Linked DNA regions of Rattus norvegicus. The protein of the gene in region 5 purifies or fractionates together with the protein of the main gene of each other region. This does not show direct contact. Links are inferred from orthologs where the notes say so. Each region holds a gene or a part of one and is shown on either strand. Other genes may lie near its edges.

Evidence for each region.
Region 1: the proteins of Nufip2 (region 5) and Atxn2 purify together in Homo sapiens (affinity purification with mass spectrometry; 3 studies listed by BioGRID and IntAct, counting the BioPlex papers as one, with this or other methods). This does not show direct contact. The link is inferred for Rattus norvegicus from reciprocal best matches to the Homo sapiens genes NUFIP2 and ATXN2.
Region 2: the proteins of Nufip2 (region 5) and Atxn2l purify together in Homo sapiens (affinity purification with mass spectrometry; 4 studies listed by BioGRID and IntAct, counting the BioPlex papers as one, with this or other methods). This does not show direct contact. The link is inferred for Rattus norvegicus from reciprocal best matches to the Homo sapiens genes NUFIP2 and ATXN2L.
Region 3: the proteins of Nufip2 (region 5) and Lsm12 purify together in Homo sapiens (affinity purification with mass spectrometry; 3 studies listed by BioGRID and IntAct, counting the BioPlex papers as one, with this or other methods). This does not show direct contact. The link is inferred for Rattus norvegicus from reciprocal best matches to the Homo sapiens genes NUFIP2 and LSM12.
Region 4: the proteins of Nufip2 (region 5) and Ddx6 purify together in Homo sapiens (affinity purification with mass spectrometry; 6 studies listed by BioGRID and IntAct, counting the BioPlex papers as one, with this or other methods). This does not show direct contact. The link is inferred for Rattus norvegicus from reciprocal best matches to the Homo sapiens genes NUFIP2 and DDX6.

The regions. Positions count from the first base shown.
Region 1 is NC_086030.1:40,506,669-40,510,788, forward strand, and holds the start of Atxn2 (ataxin-2), read right to left. Parts: upstream 2,764-4,120; coding exon 2,573-2,763; intron 2,536-2,572; exon of another isoform or gene 1,871-2,535; intron 1-1,870. UniProt on the Homo sapiens protein: Involved in EGFR trafficking, acting as negative regulator of endocytic EGFR internalization at the plasma membrane.
Region 2 is NC_086019.1:190,517,773-190,522,080, forward strand, and holds the start of Atxn2l (ataxin-2-like protein), read right to left. Parts: upstream 2,808-4,308; 5' UTR 2,391-2,807; coding exon 2,098-2,390; intron 1,780-2,097; exon of another isoform or gene 1,688-1,779; intron 1,643-1,687; exon of another isoform or gene 1,511-1,642; coding exon of another isoform or gene 1,476-1,510; intron 1,384-1,475; exon of another isoform or gene 1,369-1,383; coding exon of another isoform or gene 1,023-1,368; intron 666-1,022; coding exon 629-665; intron 522-628; coding exon 465-521; intron 383-464; coding exon 311-382; intron 79-310; coding exon 1-78. UniProt on the Homo sapiens protein: Involved in the regulation of stress granule and P-body formation.
Region 3 is NC_086028.1:87,637,756-87,641,709, forward strand, and holds the start of Lsm12 (protein LSM12), read right to left. Parts: upstream 2,802-3,954; 5' UTR 2,750-2,801; coding exon 2,626-2,749; intron 376-2,625; coding exon 242-375; intron 1-241. UniProt on the Homo sapiens protein: Nicotinic acid adenine dinucleotide phosphate (NAADP) binding protein. Confers NAADP sensitivity to the two pore channel complex (TPCs) by acting as TPC accessory protein necessary for NAADP-evoked Ca(2+) release.
Region 4 is NC_086026.1:53,827,255-53,831,556, reverse strand, and holds the start of Ddx6 (probable ATP-dependent RNA helicase DDX6), read right to left. Parts: upstream 2,809-4,302; 5' UTR 2,721-2,808; intron 2,682-2,720; exon of another isoform or gene 2,543-2,681; intron 2,480-2,542; exon of another isoform or gene 2,340-2,479; intron 232-2,339; 5' UTR 1-231.
Region 5 is NC_086028.1:63,071,992-63,076,200, forward strand, and holds the start of Nufip2 (nuclear FMR1 interacting protein 2), read left to right. Parts: upstream 1-1,405; 5' UTR 1,406-1,461; coding exon 1,462-1,738; intron 1,739-4,209. UniProt on the Homo sapiens protein: Binds RNA.

The DNA.
Region 1 (4,120 bases), on a different chromosome or scaffold from region 5:
CCAGATTAAAGGGGAAGAAGGCTGCATCACACATGAGCACGACGTCACGAAAGGTCAAAGTCAAGAGTAAGTAGATTCGGGTGCAACTGTGGTAAGATTTTTAAAAAGTGATCACATACGGTTCTTTTCTAAGAAAGTGGCCTCTAAGTGATGATGGGAAAAAACTGTTCTCAAAAATCACACAAAATTCTGTTCACACAAAAATCAAGTCAGATCCAGGCTGGCTGAGTAGCAAAATCCTTTTCGAGCAAAAACAAGGCCTGGGTTGGGGTTCCAGGTTGGGGAGGGTCCAGAAAGGAAACAGTGCTTAAGGCGGCAGTAAAGTGCATTTTGCTAATTCAAACATGACAACATCAACGCCACTTTTCAAGTGTATTTATTGTGGAGGAGGGGACATGCCCTGGCAGGTGTGGAGGTCAGAGGACAACTTGCAGCAGGAGTCAGTTGCTTCCTGCTGTGGCAGCAGAGGTGTGGGAATCCTGGTTGACAAGCCTGGCCGCAAGGGCCACTGAGCCACCCCACCACCCGATGCTACATAGCCCTTCCACAGCCATGCTGCCAGCCCTACTTTAAAATGACACACACAAACCCAAGCAAAACTCTACAAGTTACAATGCATTTACAACCCTGAGGAGAGTAAGAACAGGAGGATGGCGTTAACCAAGGTTCTGTACAGAACAAAAGTACCCATTCTGAGCACAGGCATTGGACGAAGGAAACTTAAAAAGAAACCTATGCGCCAAGTAAGAGAACTTAAAGCAGGGAAGGCTCTAAATGCCCTTCCCTTTTGCAGAGCCTCAAAAGCAGAGACTGACAGGGGTCCTAATACCCTGCCCCTCCCTGTGGAGTCCAGCCAGCCACAGTCTAATGTTTAAGCCTACAGAGTAAGCGAGGCTCAGGAACTTTAATCTGTATTTGAACAAAACGTAAATGCGTGCCACTTCCTGAGAACCAAAGATTAAAACATGAAAAAAGCAAAGAAAAACATGTATCCTTAAAGTTAAATTTAAATATTTTTTCGTTTTTCACTAAAAGTCAAGGACGGAAAAGAAACTCAAGTTACAAACCCTAACTTCGCAGAACCGTGGAAATAGAATGATGGTTTAATTTGAACGAGGCGGGTTAAGAAGGGTTTGAAAGGCCTCATGCTTGGGAAAATTGGGAGTGTGGGGGAATAAAGTAAAACACATACTGTTCCCAGAAGAACTCCTTAAAACCCGGCTCTGATTCACCCTGCGGGTTAACTTCTGCTGTACAGGAACTCTCTGGAAATGGACAGCTGGACAATGGGGCTAAGAAAACTCCAAACAAGAAAACTCCCCTTGCCCACCTCCTAAGTCCTGGATGTCTATTTAAGGAGGCCCTGCCAGCCAGGCCTAGGCCAGAGGGAGGCACAGTAGTGCCTGTTACACAGGGACACAGGGGAAATGGACTTGCATGCCCTTGGTAAGCTCTGGCGGCGGCGTTTCCCAAGTTAAGGACACCGGCCACAATGGAATGGAGTCTATTGGCATTTGCCTCTCCGTTTTAACACTAAGCATTTTCTTAGTTCGTGAAATACGAACTGACAAGCACCCCCACCCCTCCCCACCCCCGCGCGCACACACCCTCCAGAGTCAAGCCCAGTCACACAGGACAGCACCCAGCCTCCTCCAGCTCCTACCAACGAAATCGGGCCCAGGGAAGGGGAAAGGGGGCCGAGGGCGCAAGCCAACACTCGCGTCGTTGCCTTCGGGACCCGCACCAACTCCTCTGTGGAGGCTCCTCACCCCTAAAAATTTCAGGAACTGGGACAGGGGTTGGGAGGGAAAATGAGCTGCGTGTCCGGTGCCCGCCGCCAACCCACCTCTCGAGTCCGGCCCTCGCCCACCTCTATTCAAAGGCGCCTTCTGCTCCGCGGACGAGAAACAGCAATGCGGATCGGCCACCACCCGCGCGCAGGGGACCTTGCGGGGAAGGAGGGAGGCGGGCCTGGAGGGAGCAGGGCACTCCCACCCCTTCCCCAGCTGGGGGAGGACAGCCCGCTGCGGGAACCCCGCCGCCCCAGATCTAAAGGGGGATGGGTGCGCAAGGCCGCTGGCCACCCACCTCGCCTCGGTCGCCCACCTTCCCAGGGTCTGCGAGGCGGGAATATGCAGGACACCCGGCTGACCCTACCTGGGGCGGCTGGGCCTCAATCTCCCCTCCTCCCTCCCGACTCCCCACCCAGCAGTGAGGCTCATTTCAGGAGAGGGTCCCCCTGCGACCTGCACCCTGGCTCAGCCGCTCTTCCATCACAGGCAGGGGACCCAGCAAGGGGGTGGGGCGGGGAGACCAATCGCCCCTAGCACACACGCGAGGGGCAGGGGGCCGCCCGGGCCGTCCATCTTGGCCGTCTGGGGGGAGGGGACGCGATGGTGCGGGAGGCTGGACACGGCCTGAGAAGCCCGAAGGATCTGCCGGCGCCTCCCGCCCCTCCGCGGGCCCCCGGCCCATCGCTACGCCGGCCGGTCACGGGGCGAGGCGGGGGAGGGGACGAGCGGCGCGGGATCGGCCAGGCGGGCGCGGAGGGGGCTGGGGAGCCGACACCCACCTGCCCAGGCCGGGACGCCCGCCGCCCGCGACCGCCGAGGAAGACGCCACCGGCGCGGCAGGGGCCGGCACCACGGAAGACGAGGTCGACGCGGCCGAGGCCGGCGCGGCGCCGGGCGACGAGAGCAGGCCGCCGCCGGGCTTGCGGCCACTGGCGGGCGCGGGCGGCTGCGGCTGCGGCTTCAGCGACATGGTGAGCGGCCCATACACCGGCTCGCACGCCGGGCGGGGACAGCCGGGAGCCGGGCGCGCTGAGGAGACGCCGGAGCGCGGCGGGGACGCGCGGACGCCGAGCGGGCAGGCGCGGGCTGGCGCGGTCGCGGGTGCCAGAGGCAGCAGGACGACGACGAAGGGGCGGGGAGGCCCGCAGACACCGAACAGCCGCCGGGAGCCGGGCCGGGACGCGCCGTTGCCGTTGCTACCAAAACAGTCTGAGGCGCAGGGCGGCGAGCGCGGCCCGCGGGGAGGGGCGCCGGGGCCGCGCGGGGGAGGGCCGGCGGAGGGATATGCTACCGCGCCGCCCCGCCCGCCGCGCCGCGCCGTCCGCGGGAGCGAGCGCCGCGCGGCCCAGCCCGACAGGCGGCGCGGCTCGGGGCCTGCCGCGGGCCGCTGAGCGGCGTCTGTCGACGGACGCATGGGAGCCGGGCTCGCGGACGCGTACGGGGCGACGCGGCCTGGAGGGCGCGGAGATGCGAAACAGAGCGGGGGGGACTCTTTACCGGAAGTCGGAAGGGTCAGGCGGAAGTCGAACGTGAGACGGCTCGGGGGCCGATCGGGGACACGTGAGGAGCGGGCGCAGCGCTGGGCCGCGTTCGCTCTCCGGGGTCGGGGTAGGGCCGTGGGGGATCCGCCCTCGCTGAGGCGGGTCTGCCCTTCGAGGAGGGAATGCTTGTCTTCGGCCGCTGGCCCTGCTTCGCGGACGGGCACCGTGGGCTGCCCGGGTGTCCTCAGCCCCCTTCGGGGACCTTGGTTTCCCCCCCACCAGATGCAACATAGAGGATGGCCCGCGGGCGCCTTCGGGGCGGAGACCTGCATTCGGGCCTGGCACACAGTAGGCCCCCAGGTGCCACTGCGTGCTTGGTTTCCCTGCCAGCGTGGGAAGCTTGCCACCACTGAAGCCACCGCCAGCTGCTTCACTTTGCCCCACTTTATTCACCCCAGCGAACTGTTGGGTATCTGACCTTCATTTGAACCCTTTTTTCCCCTCACTGGAACGTCTTACTCCTCCTTCAGGCGACTCCAAAGGGAAATGGACGTGATTGGTAGAGCTGGGTAATGGGGGTCTTACCGTGGATAATGGGGTCTCCCTCATTGGAGACCTCGCAAAAATGTCAACTTTAGACCTTGACCCCTTTTAAAAAGTTTTACTTTAACTCGGGAAGGCCACCAAACTAGCCCTTTTTTTTTTTTTAAGGTGTTGTAATTAAATTGGAAGCAAATGGGTAACTTTTTGCAATGAGTTTAGTTGGTTTTTTGGGTTTTTTTTCTTTTTGTTTTTTTAAGTGAAATTGCTTAAGGGGATGATGGGCAGAGGACAGCAAAATCCGAG
Region 2 (4,308 bases), on a different chromosome or scaffold from region 5:
GTCCACAATGTCTTCCCGACGAGGCCCACCTGCTGGCTCAGAGGCTTTCCGATGTACCGCATCTACTGCCAGTTCAAACTACAAAAGCCCCATTCCCAACATTCCAGGGTCAGTATCAAAGGGAGGAAAAGATGGCTTCTCTCAAAGCTTTCTAGTCTTTCAACATCAAATTCTCATGTTGTTCTGCATTTCTCAACATCAGCCAGAGAACTTAGCAAAAGCCTCAAAACTGCCTGCTCTCAACCCTACACAAACCTCAATTGCACTCTCATACACAGCTTCAGAAACTCCACGATTTGAGTACACTGACCTTTGAGCTCAGCGTCTTGAAAATGCCCTCATAAGTGGTGCCATTTTTCACTTTTACATCACAGGTAGAACCCTAGCAAGGTGAAAGATTAAGTCACTTTAAAAAACTGAAACAGCATATTCCTCAGACACCCAACGTTAAAGCTCTCACTTACCACTACAGCTGTCAGGAAATGCAGCATCCTGGAATTGTTATAGACACCTTCAAACACCTGTCACACAAGAAAAAAGCAAAGGGCAGCAGGTGAATACTCTTTCTTCCCAGACTGTCCCACCCTATGTCTTCTGAGTCTTTACAAGAGGAAAAAAAGGCACTCACTGGTGACTGTGGGGGTCCCTTTCCGGTGGTCTGTCCCCTGTTAAAGAGAGAAACTAGTTTTAATTAACAGTGAACCCTAGAACAATGTACCATGTCAACTTGCTGATTTAGGCTACGGGCTGATTAACAAATGCTCACATTAAAGAGGAAAGCAGGAATTACTTGCTAAAACATTTTCTCCAAATTCAAGATTTTAAAAAGCCAACAAAAAATTCAATAAACAATAGCTGTCAAATGCGGCTAACAGCCAATGCAATACAACCTGACTTCCTCCAAGGGGACTTCACTCTTCCCATAAAACACTGCTGTATTTGTAAACCAACAGCCCAATTCAGTTGTGAAGGTGAAAGCTCGGGCACCCCAAATGCAGCACTACTGAGCTTAGACACATTACCTCCCAAAGGAAAAAAGCACTTTCAGCAGCCTTGGATTCCAAATCCCAGGAGGGGTATACTCTCCACACCCCACCCTTTCGCCCTCATTATTTTCATTCAGCCTGTTACCCACTCTGAAAGGATCCCCAATCGCCAGGTAACACAGCTCCTCGACGGCTGATGTAACCGGCAGTTGAGGAGGGCGAGGAGGGGGCCGTTGGCGGGGCTGGGGGACCGCGCAGCCGCAAAAACCATCCACCGGGATGCCTCGCCCGGTATGCGCCTGCGCACTAAAGCCCATAGCCCTCCACCCGCTCTAGAACAGAAGCCACTGCGCCTGCGTCTAGTGGCTGCTTCTAATCGCATTGACACACCAAGAAAACCGAGGGCACCCACTCCTCACTCACCAACACCAGACGCCCCTAAACCCTCCAACCAACCCCCCCCTCCTCAGTCTTTGCTCTACGTGTTACCGGGGCAAGCCAATGCCCGAGTCATAAGACAGCATCCGCGCGCACGTACGGGCAGGGAGCGCGCGCGCAGGAGCTTCCCAGTCTGCAGTCTTCCCAGTAGCCGCTGCTTCCGCGCCCCCGCCCACTCCGTTCCCCTCTTACTGGCTACACCGGGAAGAGGAGGGAACAATCTGCTCCCAAGTCCCTCCCTTCCCATTGGTCAAACTGTGGGCCGCGCGCCCCCCCTCTATTGGCTACAGCCGGGGACCCCTTCATGCAGCTGACTCCCCATTGGCTGAAACCGGGGACCGCGAGATCCTCCGTGGTAATGGAGCTGGGGACCCCATCACCTCCTCAACCCCCCCAACACCCTTTTCCGACGGAGCTGGCGGGACGCGCCCCGCCTCCCCTCAGGGCCCAGACCCCAAGCGGTGACTAGGCCCAGAGAGCCGAGCACTGCCCCCAGGCTCCTGGAGACCGCCCGGAGATCTTTCTCTCCGACCTGTTGGCACGAGGGTCTACCCCCTCCTTCACGGGGTTCTGGGCCCTAAGAGCCCCTCAACAGCGCCAAGCCCCGGCGCGCCTCCGCCAAAGCCGAGTCGCTGCCACCTGGGCTCTCCCCAGCCAGGAGTCCCGTTCTCACCTGACGCTGCCGATAGCCACTGCCCCTGGCCGTTCTTGATGCTGCTGCGGCGCTGGCGCCGCCAAGATGCTTTCGGCTCCGCGGCGGAGCCCGCTGCCGGCAGCGGCTGCAGGCCCCAGGCACGGAGAGACCACTGTGGGAGGCCCCGGGGGAGCCGCGGTAGCGGGCAGCGGTCCCGGGAGGCCGCCGTTGGGAGGGCTAGTCCCGCCGGGAGGCCGGCGAGCCACGGCCTGTTGCGTGGGGGGCGGCTGCTGGGGCTGGGAGGTCTGTTGTGGCGGCTGAGGCTTCAACATGATGGCAGCGTCCGGAAGAGAAATTAGAGGGAAGGGAAAGAGGGCCTGAGGCTGGGCCCCTGCTGGAGAGCGCGGGAAGCGAGAGAGATCGCCAAGCAGGGGACCCGCCGTTGGCGGGCGGGGGGAGCCCCGCGGTGTCAGGGGTGGATTGAGAAGACGGCGGCGCGAGGAAGCGCCGCGAGGCGGAAGGGGAGGGGGGGATGTCGCGGGCCGGTGGATAGCGAGAGGGCGCGAGCCGGCTTGGCGCGCGTGCGCGTCGCTGGAGAAGGAGAGAGGGAGGAGCGCGGGCGGAAGCGCCGGCGGGGGAGGGGCGCGGGGAGCGCCGCCAGGCGGTTAGTTCCGGAAAGCAGAAGAGGCTCCAGTTGTGGCTCAGACTGGTCTAGCCCTTAGGGCGGAAAAGGAGCCGCGCAGGCGCCTAGAGCACCTCTAGGTTCCGAGCCACCTTAAATACTGGCGGCCGCGGTTGCTTCACAACGAGTGTGGGAGGGGCCAAAGCCAGGAAGGGGAAGTGCCGGTGGACCCGCCCCTCCCACGCCACAAGCGTAACGTCAGAAAGTCTCCGCGGTGGTGTGAGGTATCACGTCGTAGCGTGAGGTTCTTCCGCCACTGGGTGAGCGGTGGGCGGAGTCTCGTGGGCCAAAAAAAAAAAAAAAAAAAAAAAAAACCCTAGGACAAACCTAGTACAGGTAACTTTAAGGCAGGTGGGTTTTTAAATATGCTGTTCTCCATCTTACCTCCTTTAGAATATTAATGAGCATTAGAATGACTACTTGAGCGTAAGTGCATCCTAACAAAGGTGTCCAATTTGAAACTGAAATTCAGTGACTTTTTCTGGGATAGTGAAATCCAGAACAGTAACAATACAGGCAGTCTGGAGGCTAGACTTCTAAGAGTATATTACAGAACCCAGCCCAGGCTGCATAGCAAGACACTGTCGGAGAATCGTGGTACAATGCTTGCCTATAAAGGCAGCCGTCATTCAAAATGAGGGCAGCTGTGGTGGTTCACAACTTCAATCCCAGCACTAGGAAGGAAGGGTAGGAGGATCAGAAGTTTGAGGCCAGCCTGGATTATATAAGTTCCAGGTCAGCTGGGCAGACCTTGTTTCAGAAGGAAGACAAGTTGAACATTGGTCCATGCTTTGGGCACAAGGGTAACTAAGAAACTCAAAGCTCAAAGTAGTGCAAGATTTATATAATTTGACCAGAGGTACTTGGTAAAACAGAGCAGGAAAATGGATTTCTATACAGGTGGAATAGATCTGACAGCTTGGATGGAGCCTGAAAGTCTCACTATTTCCTTTAGCTGGCTTTCACCTCCCTGTGCCAACCAGGGTGGTCTTAAACTTACAGAGATCTGTCTGCCTTCTTCCTAAGTGCTAGGATTAAGACATACATCATCGGGGCTGGGGATTTAGCTCAGTGGTAGAGCGCTTACCTAGGAAGCGCAAGGCCCTGGGTTCAGTCCCCAGCTCCGAAAAAAAGAACCAAAAAAAAAAAAAAAGACATACATCATCACACCCAGGTTTTGTCATGGAATGTTAACCTAAAATCCTACTATTGGTGAACACAATTCAAAAATTAAATATAGGATTGGGTGGACACTAACAAACTGAACATAGTTGTATAGATGAGTCCAAATCTACATTTAGATTAATAACCCATTGGAGGCAGAAAAATGGAATTAATTAAAGTCATCCCTACATATTTAGTTTAAGGCCAGCAGGTCAGGTGAGACTTGGCACACACTTCCCAAAAGGTATGCGAGCAGGGGAAAGATAAATAGATCATTTGGTAGCAGTGTACAAAATAAAAATTTGTGTACTCTGTGTGTGTGTGTGTGTGTGTGTTTGACCTCACAGGCCAGACGCTGGCATCAGGTCCCCTGGGACTGGAATTAGCAAATGTAAGCTGCCATG
Region 3 (3,954 bases), about 25 Mb from region 5:
CAGCACTTGGATGGCAGAGTCAGGAAAATCTGAAGTTCAAGGTTACATAAAATACACAAGAATCTGTCTCAAAAAGGAAGAAGAGAGAGTAGTCCCCACCCCAAGAAATGAAACAGAACACCAGGGTCGTAAGTAGGTTTAAAAAAAAAAAAAGCACAGAACAATGCATACATCCTCAAAAGCTGGAGAGCATCCCTCCTTCCCAACATTTCAGACATCGAGAATGTCCTTGAGTTCTTACCTTACTAACATTGAGTGAAGCTAGGGGAGGAGGGGTTTCTGTTCGATCGTTAATTATTTCCACTTCTGAAACATACTGTAAGTTTATAAGCAAGATGTCTGCATGGTTGGGCTTTCCACTGGAAGAGGGACATTCTGGTGAGAAAATAAAGTTAAGGAAAATAGGACAAAGGCACACTGCACAAGTAGTATACACAACGATCCAGGCAGGAGGCCGGTGGTGTCCTGCACCTTTAATCCCAGCACTTGGGGGAGGCACAGGCAATCAGATGTCTGTGAGTTTGAGGCCAGCTGAACCACTGAGGGAGTTAAAGGACAACCAGGGCTACACAGAGAAACTCTATCTCCAAAAACTACATACATACACACACACACACACACACACACACACACACACACACACACACACACACATACACACACACACACATACACACACACACACCAACATACACACAAAGAAGAAAACTATACCAGTGTATAGGAAAGGCATCCCCGAGCGAGCCTCATAGGAATCTTAGCTCTCAATAAACCCCCATCAACTTGCTCCTGCTCAAAGCAAAGGATCTCAAAATTTTTAAAGCCATATACAGCCAGAAATTGAAACCTTCAAAAGGGTTCCTGTCACTTTCTAAATGGGTTTTAGGGGAAGAAATACAGTCTTGATGTCAGATGCACTGCTTGTCTTAAACTTAGGAACTATAAAGAGGCACCAGTGTTTTGAAGTTTGGGGTCATACTAGAATCTCCCTAAATCTAGACAGTGCTTCTCACTTATTCAGATTTCATGCTTTTCCTTTCTTTCTTTCCAATTTCTTTTTCACACTTGAAATTTCCCATTTTTCAGAGGCAAAAAGTACACCATTGGGAAGGAAACTACCTAAAATGAGACCTTATTCATTCATCCACCCATTCATTCATTTTCCAACCATTTACTAAGACCCTGCTGTATGTCAAATAAAAAGAGTGAGTCTTCCTTTTAAGATTCTTCCAGGGCTGGAGAGTTGGCTCAGCGGTTAAGAGAACTGACTGCTCTTCCAGAAGTCATGAGTTCAAATCCCAGCAACCACATGGTGGCTCACAACCATCTGTAACGAGATCCGATGCCCTCTTCTGGTGTGTCTGAAGACAGTGACAATGTACTCGTCATATATAAGATGAATAAATAAAATGTTTCAAAAAGGGGTTGGGGATTTAGCTCAGCGGTAGAGCGCTTGCCTAGCGAGCGCAAGGCCCTGGGTTCGGTCCCCAGCTCTAAAAAAAAAAAAAAAAAAAAGTTTCAAAAAAAAAAAAAAAAGACTCTTCCAACTAAGTCACCAAAGGAAGAGCCTTTAGGCCAAGTATGATCTCTTGTTTTTAAAATAACACATACAAAAAGAAATTGTTCTTATTGTATGGCATTCACCAAGAGATCTTTCTGAGCTGGAAACCAACAACTCACAATAAGAAACTCCGACAGAGGCTACCTTCTAAAAATAATTCGAGTAAACCCACCTGTAGCTCAAATAAAGGGGGAGGCAGAGGTTCATTTATTCCAACCAGGAAGTGTTTTGTTTTCCAACAGTGAGTTGGTGGAGTAATTCAGCAATCATTCCCACCCCAAAGGAACAGGGCCACCTCTTCCATGCAGTTTAACACTGGTACTTTCAAGGAGAAGGACGTTATTACGGAATGTGTTGAACTGAACAGAAGCCCACACACTATCATATATAAGCCCCTGCAAAACGTGGCAAGTCCTCTTTAGACCAGGCTTCCAACACCCCCTAAGCAGCGATTTTCAAATGACTGAGAACCTTAAAGTCAGCACAGTGACACCAAGCATACATGACTCCAGCAAAATTAGCCACCAGTTCAAATACAAACTCTGTCCTGCACTTCCCATCCCCAAACTGGCAAGGCCCATTAGACCACCATCCCACCACCGCCCTTTCTTGAATCAAATCTCATCAGCAATCTATACCCTTACCCTACTAGCAGTTCCTGACCCTACACACCCCTCCCCATAGCATGTTACCGCTCCCCACTCCATCCGGGCTCCAATCTCCAGCCCTCTCCTTACCACTATCCCCCTCCCTTAATCACGGAGTCCCCTTAACACATCGTCCCCTCCCGAAAAGCCAGGCGCGTGTCAAGCCCTGCTCCACCTACCAACCCTCAGTCGGGGCCTAGCTCCCACAAGGGGTGGGAGACAAGGGTCCCCAAAATGGACCGAAAGGCCCGCGGGAGGGGGAGGGGAGTTCAGAGCCGTGCGCATGCGCCCGGGGCACCGCGGTAGCCGGTCGCCCCTAGGCCGGGAGAGGGCCCTAGCTGCCGCCGCCGTCCCCCGCCCCCCCACCACCGCACCTACACGCCGGCCCGGCCTCGGGGTCCACGCAGAGAAGGATACTTAGAGCCAGCATTTTGGACTGGTAGTCGAAGGCTACCACCTCGCCCTGCAGCCGCTGCTCCTGGCACGTCCGGCACGACACCTGGCTCCCAACGCTGAAGTACTCGCCCGGAGGAGCCGCCATCTTGGGAGAGCAGCCGCGGCCGGCGGCGGCGGCGGCAGCAGCGGGCGAAAGCCGGGCCCCCAGCAAGCGCCGCGACGCGACGCACGAGGCGTACTGACGTCACGCGCAGGGGCGTGGTCTGGCGCTGGGTGGGGCGGGAGCCTAGGTGAAGAGGAAATAAAGGGGAATCTAGAGTACAGTAAAAATGTGCGGCCGCTGGTCTGCTTGGCTAAGTACTTGCACGGCTCTTTTGGAAGCTAAGGAAATAAATGCATGTAAAGAAGAAATGGACGAAATGGAGAAAGAGAAAGCACCTGGAGTCTCGCTTAAGCCCACACCTTACGCAAAAACGTTTAATGAATGAACTCTATAAAATATTATCCTCATTTGCATACGAACAACCAGAAGCTCACAGGACTTAGCAGGACTCACTCAAAATGATTATAACCAATTATAAAGTACTCGTACAAAAAGCTTTAGCTGTAAGGTTAGGCAAACTAGAACCTGAGGCTGTTTACCAAATAATATAACCTTAAGCAAATTATCAAACTTATGTTTCTTCAGTGGGATGTAAATACCACTTATTCAACATCTGGCAGCCCCTCAAGGAAGGAATCAATATCCTCATTTTACAGCTAAAGAAAACTCTTAAAATTGTCAGGATCTGGGGCTGGGGATTTAGCTCAGTGGTAGAGCACTTGCCTAGGAAGCACAAGGCCCTGGGTTCGGTCCCCAGCTCCGAAAAAAAGACCAAAAAAAAAAAAAAAATTGTCAGGATCTCACAACTGGCAAAGCCACGGTTTTGAGTCTAACAAAGGTGCTATTTACTGACCTATATCAGATAATAACATTTGCCTCCTAAGGCAGTAAGGAGGCTTAAATGAGATAATGCCTACATGCATGACCTAGAGTATCTAAATAAATAATAGTAACCCTGTGATCAGAAAGCCAAGTAAAAGTAAGAACAGCTCTGGGATGTAGCTCAGCTATAGAGTTCATATCCTCAAGGCCTGGGTTCAAGTCTCAGCACCAGGAGAAACATACATACATACATACATACATACAAACATACGAGAGAAGGGATGTCAAGAGCAGGGAATACTAATGATGACTAAGTCCCCCTCCCAATAATATCCATTTGATATTACAATATTTACTAACCTCATGGGGGGAACTGTGCAGATGCACTTTTAAACCCAGCACCAGCTGCCACCCTTTACCTGCCC
Region 4 (4,302 bases), on a different chromosome or scaffold from region 5:
TTTCAAAGTCAGTAGAGAAACTGTAATAACAGTTTATGAGGCTCTCCAAAATGAAGAGATAAATAAGTCTTGCTCAATATATGAGTCCTTTATTGCAATTCAGGCAAGCACCTGTAAGTCTCTCACCGGTAAGCAGCAGTAGTTAACTTGCTCTCAAGCAACGAATCAACTTTGTATTTTTTTAAAGCGCTCTAACAAGCTTGAATTATATCTGAATTCACTCACTTCAATCTGAAACAAAGAAAAAAATTAAATTAGCAGACCACAAAGTCAGGGGGAGAAATTGTTCCCTTTTAAAGAACTCCTCTGCAATGGTCATCTTCTCAAGAACCACTAATCGACATACTCAAACCAGATCACTACTTGACATAGGAAAGACATAGCGAAGAACTGCCTTAAAAACCCAACCTACGAAAAATCCAACCTCAAACATTTAAAATTGCAAGAACAAAGCAACTTAGGGGGAAAAAAAGGCAGGAAGATACTATTGATAAAATTCAAATTCATTCTCAAATAACAATCTGTTCTTCAATCTCCTAATGAATTCTCTCCAAGTCCTGCCCCCTCTAAATGTCATTACATTTAATTACATTAAAACTTGAAATATCACTCAATTTACCTCATGTACATCTAGATTTGAACAAGACAATTCACTAACATCTTTCTATTTCTGACAGCAACACAAAAACCTTTAAATGAAAAGACTTTTCAAATACGAAGTCTTCTTACCAGTTTCAATTACAGAAATCAATTTTTTTTTATTGAATTTTGTCCTGACCAAAATAATTGAAGCAGTCAAAAGATCTGTATGGAGCAGTCTACATATCAAAAATCTTCTGCTTGAAAAACTCTAAGATTCTCTTCAACTGGAGGGGGGGGGGCAAAGAAAAAAGAAAGCCCCAATACCAAAAGTTGAATGAAAGCTGTTAGTGTTGCCTTTTACTATAACACTTTTCAAAAAGTATGTCCTAATTTAAAATAAAGTTTAGGGGTTGGGGATTTAGCTCAGTGGTAGAGGGCTTGCGTAGCAAGCCCAAGGCCCTGGGTTCGATCCCCAGCTCCGAAAAAAAGAAAAGGAAAAATAAAAAAGTTTAAACGTACGTACGTACGTGTGTGTGTGTGTGTGTGTGTGTGTGTGTGTGTGTGTGTGTCCTATAGTAAAAGGGGAAAGAAAAACCAGAGGGCTAAACTTGTAGTTTTAATAAAATTCTCCCAAATCACCCTGAATAGCGAGTCTAATTAAGTTATTTTTAAGAAAGAGTTGGTCAACCTCCTCTACTTTAAATTGTTCCCCAAATGGAATTCTCAAAATTTGGCAAATAAAAAATTACTAAGGACCAGTATAAGCCCAACTCGTTCAGTTTTATTTTGTAACCCCCTTACATTATTTCACTGGTTCCCAAAACACTAGCTTAATTAGTGCTAGTTATCTTTGCCACACACCAAGTGTCCCAAACCCAAAATTTTCAAGTCAAAGGATATCTCGTTATATATCAACTTGCTCACAAATGCTGCTTATCACATAAAGCTGTTTATTTGTTCTGTTAATAGGCATTTTCTGTATTGACAGCATATGATCAACAGTATGAGGTACGTCAAACAGGAAGGCTTCCTATTTGTACAGCACTAAGAGGCTGAAGGGGGCAACCTCTGAATACTAACGGACACCATCAGTACTGTCAATCAAGCCCAGTAAGACCCAGTGCCTTAAACCCAGAGACTTCGATAACTGCTCTCTCCAGAAACAGATACCTGCACTGCAGTTTTATGTCTCAGTTGGGGAAATATTCGTCCTACCCCTTCCCAATTTAGATTTGCAAGTTATAGTCTTAAAACAAAACCACGAAGGAACGTAGACTTAGCTGGGAGGAGCCCCTGGCAGAGTTAATTACAGCACGGCCCAGACCGTGGTTAGCAATTGACAGTTTCACACCTAAAACAGTACCATAAGCTCCAACAAGGGCTTTTGTTTGCAAATACAGCGCGATTTCTCTAAGCCTCAGCAGGAAGTTGGAGTGATTGGGGTTTTTCTGAAGGAAAAGGGGGGCTATGGAAAAGGAAAAACCAAGCTAAGACTCGGAGTCCAGTAACCGTAGGGCAATAATTCCTCTCCCCCTCCCCCAACTACACTCTACAAATCCAGCTCCTTCAGATCAAAACGCAAAAGGGTTTTTTTCTGCCCTGCAATCTATCTGCGCCACAAGAGCCGGAACCAGCTCTGCGAGTGGGAAACAATAGGGACTCCCCTCAGAAGGCCCGGAAGAGAACCCCAAAAACTGGACCGCCTCCCCTTTCCTCTTACGCCGCTGAGTCTCCCCAAACCCTATGTTCCCACCAACCTGCAAGGCCTACTTGCAACCGAGCAGCTGCGGGTCCTCTCCTAGCCCAGTCTCCGGACAGCACAGCCCTGCCGCCCCCAACAGGGCTGCCTCGCACTCCCAACCTCACTCCGGAGTCCCGGCCGCCGCTCCGTCCCCGCTCCCGTCTACCACACCGCTCGCCCAGAGCACTCCACCGCTCCTCCTCCAGACCGGGCACACACCACATTCCTCGGTTCCACTCCTCTCCGCCGCCGCCGCTGCTCCTCTCAGCGGCCACCCGCCCGTCCTCCCGGGCCAGGCCTGGGCCTCGGGCTTCCGCCCCAAGCGCGCCCTGACTCCCGCCCGAGGGGGCTCCCCGCGACCCTCAGGGCCCTACCGACCCCGACCACACCGCCTCACCCCACGCCCCGCGGCTCGGGCCCGAGTCCTACCACCCAGGCCACTCCCGCTCCGCACCCTCGGTCCTTTATTGTTGACTCGAAGCTCCCAAAATGGCGGCGGCTCCTTCCTCCTCGGAAACCTCCGCCCGCCCCCACCCGGCCCCTCGCCGCTACGCCCGCCGCCCCGCCCCCGCCGCGCCGCTCGCCGCCCGCGCCGCCGCCGCCGCTGCCGTCCCGCGCTACCTCGGCCGTAGCCCGCTGTGCCGGCGCCCCGGATGTCGCCGCTGAGCGGAGCTGACTCTGCTGCTCTGCCCCCTCCCTCGCCCGCCGCTGTCGTCTCCCTCCCTCCTTCCCAGCCTCTCCGCATGGCGGCGGCTGCGGCTCCTCCTCCACACAAGATGGCGAGAGCTCCGCCGCTGCAGCCGCCGCGGCGTCACGGCTTCCTGGGCGCGGCGGGCGAGGGTCGGGAGAGACTCGTTACTGATGGGACCGAGCTCAGGGAAACACGGGGCTGTTTTCGGGAAGGACGGACGGACGGACAGACGGACGGACGGACGGACTGGAGAGCTTGCCTGCAGAGCTGAGGAGACCAGTGGGGAAATGAATGGTGGCCGGGGAGTGTCGTCCTTGCCTTCGTCCCTCCTGAGCTGGGCTGGCCGGGCCGGGCGGAGGGGACGCCTGCTGACTGCTGACCGGGGACGCGCTCGGAGGGCAGCCTGCGCCGGTCCGGAAGCTGACCTGGGGTGGCCGGGAGGCTGCTGCGAGGCCAGGGCGCACCTCCACCCAGGGACGTGCAGAAAAATTGGGCCTGAAGGGCCGAGGCTGTCGGCGAGGCAGCGGGGAAAGCGTGAACCGGGAGCCCGCCCTAGGTCGTGGGCTACCAAGCCCAGAGTGCAGGCGAGGTGACCCTTTGCTCCTGCCGGCAGTGGCACTCTTCTAGAAAGAAGGGCGGGTCGCCTCTACGAGGGAGGTCTCGCTGTGAAAATGGGAAACCAGTAGATTCTGCTGCCTGACCCTCACTGCAGACAGCTATCTGTGCATTTGTTTCTATGATTCTCAGATCCTGAGGTCTTATCCTTAACCTAGAAAGCAGTCTTGTTTCAAGTAAAACAAACATTTCTTGTGTGTTAAGTAAAAATCGAGCTGGGCCGAAGTGAAAAACCTGCGTCCTACGCTGCTGGAGGGCTGGAAATACTGACAATGGTCAAATCATTTGTGACAATACGACTCCATACTAGATCACTCGTTAAGGGGTCCTGAACAGTCAATACTCGTAGTCAGTGACTAGCAGCTTCCATATTTTTTACCGCTGCTTCCAACTTGAGACCAATCAGAGAAAGCCAAATACGCTCTCTAAGCCAATGACTCCCTGCTTCCAGCCCTTCTCCTGCTTTCTAGACAGCAACATCCAATCAGAGTAAGCCTGAAGCACCCCTCCCCAACTGCTGCGCTTTTCGTGTGTGTGTGTGTGTGTGTGTGTGTGTGTGTGTGTGTGTGTGTAGTGCTTGTGTTAGTAAGTGTGTGTGTGTGTAGTGCTTGTGTTAGTAAGTGTGTGTGTAGTGCTTGTGTTAATAAGTGTGTGTGTGTAGTGCTTGTGTTAG
Region 5 (4,209 bases):
TCAAAACCAACCAAACAAACAAACCAACCAAGACAACAAAACAAAATAAATACAAAAGATGGTAAACTTTACATTTAAAATTTCCCTTGTATTACGTAGATGTGTATGCATTATATGTATAATTTAAATGAATTATAAAGCAAGCATTCATGTAATAGCACATTGGCTGGGTGTGCTGGTATGTAGGACTTTAATCCTAGCACTCATGAGGCAGAAGCAGGGGGAACCTCTTAGTTGGCCAGACACTTCTACAAAGGTAGTTCCAAGTCAATCAGGGTTACATAGATGCTGTTTCAAAACCAATCCAATCCAAAACACACAAACAAAACTCCCAGTCAACACCCACCCCTAATATACTAAGAGGGTGCCGCGTGTCTGTCCTCATCACAACCTTCTTCCTTCCTATCATAACAGGTTGAATTAACAGCATAAAATGCAAATATGCCTTTAAATTTCAATGTTTTCTTTCAATTTAAAGCAAAAAATGTAAAAAAACCCAAAACTTAAAGAACTTTTAAAGATTTTCTTTCTCCTTTCCTTCACTTTTGAAAGTCTTATCCTAAAACCTATTTTGGTTTCATAGTTGACCTCACCTGCAGTGTTTAATTAAAAAAACAAAACAACAAAAAACTTCAGTGTAGATTTTTCATTCCTCTCTCTCTCTTGCCTTCAACTACAAAGAAACAATGATTTAAGCCCTTTGTGCCCTTTTAGAAAATTACACAGATACCCTATTGTGGAACCCTATAATCCCTCCGTGGAAAGGAAGAGATTAGCATATGAATACAAAGCAAAATGAATCCAGAATACAAAACGATCTATCGAGTTGTGAGGCTCTTGTATTCTTAAAAATGTATTTATTTCCTCTTTTTTTGTATTGCCCCTTTCGTGGTTTAAGGGTTAAGGAAATTGAGACCCCCCCCCGCCTCCCTCCCCCTCGACTACCCGGAAAAGAATTAAACACACACACACACACACACACACACACACACACACACACACACACCCCAACATATTCTAGGAGGTGCAAAACCAACAGATGGCTCCTAGCGCCAGTAGAATCCTCAGTGGAATCTGCTACACTCGACATCAGCTTGCTCGCTGTGAGGAGTGTAGAAAGTGCTGTTCGCTAACTGCGTGGTGAAGGAGAGAAAGCGATAGAAGAGAGAGCCATAATGCTGACGTTGAAGGCCCGGCCCTGTGAGGTTGCATAGGGTAAGTGGCGTTGGCCAGGCGGCGGTGGCGAAGGGGAAGGGAAGAGGATTTGGGCTAGGGGCGGGGCTTGACGCGCAGCGTGGCTCCTGATTGCTGGAGCGCGGCTGCCAATCTCGCAGATCCGCTCGCTTAACCAGTGCGCTGGCGAGACGCGCTCAGATATACTGAGCGAGCGCGGAGAAGCAGTCTCAGATCCTGACGGTGCAGCAGCCCGCAGCCTCAGCCAGGGAGTCCCAGCCGCTTTCAATGGAGGAGAAGCCCGGCCAGCCACAGCCTCAGCACCATCACAGCCACCACCATCCGCACCATCACCCCCAGCAGCAGCAACAGCAGTCGCACCACCACCACCATTATTATTTCTACAACCACAGCCACAACCACCACCACCACCACCATCACCAGCAGCCTCACCAATACCTGCAGCATGGAGCCGAGGGCAGCCCCAAGGCCCAGCCCAAGCCGCTGAAACATGAGCAGAAACACACCCTCCAGCAGCACCAGGAAACGCCGAAGAAGAAAACAGGTCTGAGAGGGAGGGCGGTGGGGGAAGGGGACTGGGTTGGGGGGAAGGGATGGGGGTGGGGCTAGATGTGAAAAGCGCGGACCCGGTCGGGGTGTGCGTCCCGCCGGGCCGGGGATGCCCCCTTCTATTCTTCCCGGGCGCGGGCCGCGAGGTGGGGATTGCAGCGCCCTCTCCTTCCCTTTAGCATGGGAGAGGCCCAGTCAGGCCAGCGTGACCTTCCTCGGCCCCCGCCCCGGCCGGAGGCAGACCTGTACGGTCGGCCTTGGAAGTCCAGCCTTATTTTTCCCTCTAGTGCGGCCCTGGAGTTGCCTGAATGTGGGGGCCCTAAGAAGGGGTGAAACTCATCTGTCCTAAAAAAAAAAAAAAATCCCTTGAGGTGTCTGTAATCCAGGCCTAGTGAATTCCGGTTCGGGTGGTGTCGCGAGACCCGCTTGCAGGCGGCGAGGAGCGGGGCTGAGGGCTGAGTTGAGGAAGCGTCCTCCCTCACCCGCCACCCCAAGCCCACCTGTGGCCTTGGGGTTTGCTGTCCTGGGGGGGGTAGGCTGGGACCCCATCGTCCCTCGGGTCTTTTCTATCCCTAAATGCCCATCTTGGGCTCCGGACCCCGCTGTCTATCCGCGAGGCACCTCCAGAGGCCGGCGCCCCTGGCCCGCTCGCCTCGGAGCCGGCGAGGCTGGAATGTTCTCTTCTCCTCGCGGGGCCGCTTCCTGTCCGCCATGTTGGAAGCCGATTCCTGTCACCGACTCTGGCCGGCTGAGGAGCGGAGGGGGAAGGGTGCGGAAGGCCACACGGGACGCTGGCACCGCTGCCCCGGGACCCTGTGCAGCCCTCTTCAGGTCCCCCGCACTGCGGGCGGCCGCCGCCCGCCGCCCCTCCCCCCGCCCCGCGCCGGGTTGTGTAACCCGGTGGCGGCCGCGCGGCCCCGGGCGGGTCCCTGGGGTGAGGGGCGGGGGCGGTTGGGGTGGGGGAGGGAAGCGGCCACGAGGGGAGCGGCCTGCACCGTGGACTCGCGCGCCGACGGCCGCGTTTCCCGCTCCCGGGTGCGGCGGGAGGCGCGGGCGGCCGGGAGGGAGCGGGCCTCGAAGAGGAGCTAGAGGGGGAAGGAGGCCCGGGCGGCGGCCCCAGCGTTCCGCCGGCCTGCGAGGGGCGAGGGGATTCATTTTGGGTAGAGGCGGTGCCTGAGGCCTGGTGGGGTACACAGCGGGAACCAAGCTCCCGGGTCACGAGTTTCTCTGCCACAGGAATCTCATCTCCTGCCAGGTTCGCTCACGACTCCGCCTCAGAGGCTTTTTCACTTAGGCCTTTTTCTTTATAGCAGCGCATTTCCTACCCAAGGAGGGTGGGGGGCCCGGCAACCTCTCAAACCTTACTCCATTGGTTTTTCCACTCAACACCTACTAAACTTGTGAGCTGGGTTAGTGACTGTAGGAGGGATTAATCAGATGTTCGATTGGATGGACAACACGGGCAGTTTTGGGTTCCCTGTTTCTTTAACGATGAACTGGAAAGGAAGTGACTTGTCCATGCGGTTGTCACTAATCCCTTACCTTGGACAAGACCTTTTTGGTTAAAGTGAGAGGTGTTTTTGGTGCATTTTAAAACCGACTTCTATCCCCAAACTGAATGTTATTTAACATATTAAACGTGGAGTCTTGAAATATTTAAAAAATAAGCATCAAAGTTTATATATAAGCACATTAAAGTGCTTTTTTTTTTTAAACTGAAAAGGGAATGCTTAGAAAAATGTTAAACTTAGCCTATCATATAATACAAGTAGTTACTGGTGAAAAACTTAGTGTAGACCGTAAGTTATTTGAAGACACCTGGATGGATATCAGATTTTCTTTTATAAGGTGGTAGGGACTGATGATGGAGCAGAAATGTTTAATTGTAAGGATTTACAGCAGCTTAGAGACTTAGGAATTATGTAACTGCATTGGTTTTGGTTTTTCAGAAGGTGAGAAAGTGTCAAGGTTGCCAAATGGAACTGTTCAAAGATTTAGAATTTATCTTTTACAAGGTTTGTGTATTCCCCATCGGATTCCTTACTCCATAGAGATGCAGACCTTGAACCATTCATTGAAGGTGGCTGTCCTCAAAATGTCTTAAATTGGGATGAAGAATATTATCAGTTGGGCTGAGTGGCTTTTCCATGTGTAGTTTGGTCATTTTATACAGTGCTAAGAAATCTAGAAAATGTTAGGTACATAACGTAATGGGTTTTTATGAACCATTACTCCCAAACTTAAGTGAAACTGGTTTTCTGTATTCAGAAGTAAGGGCATAGGAGGCCAAACATGTTGAGTAATTGCAATGTCAAATCCAAAAGCTAGATTTATTGGGACTCAAGTTTTACTGAGTCCATTTGAAGTGGAGTTATCATGGCAGCCCCAAATAGTAAAGACACAGGAATTCTTTGCTTTCTGTTATAACTACTATCTTCACATTTTTCTTAAATATCTAAGCTTTAA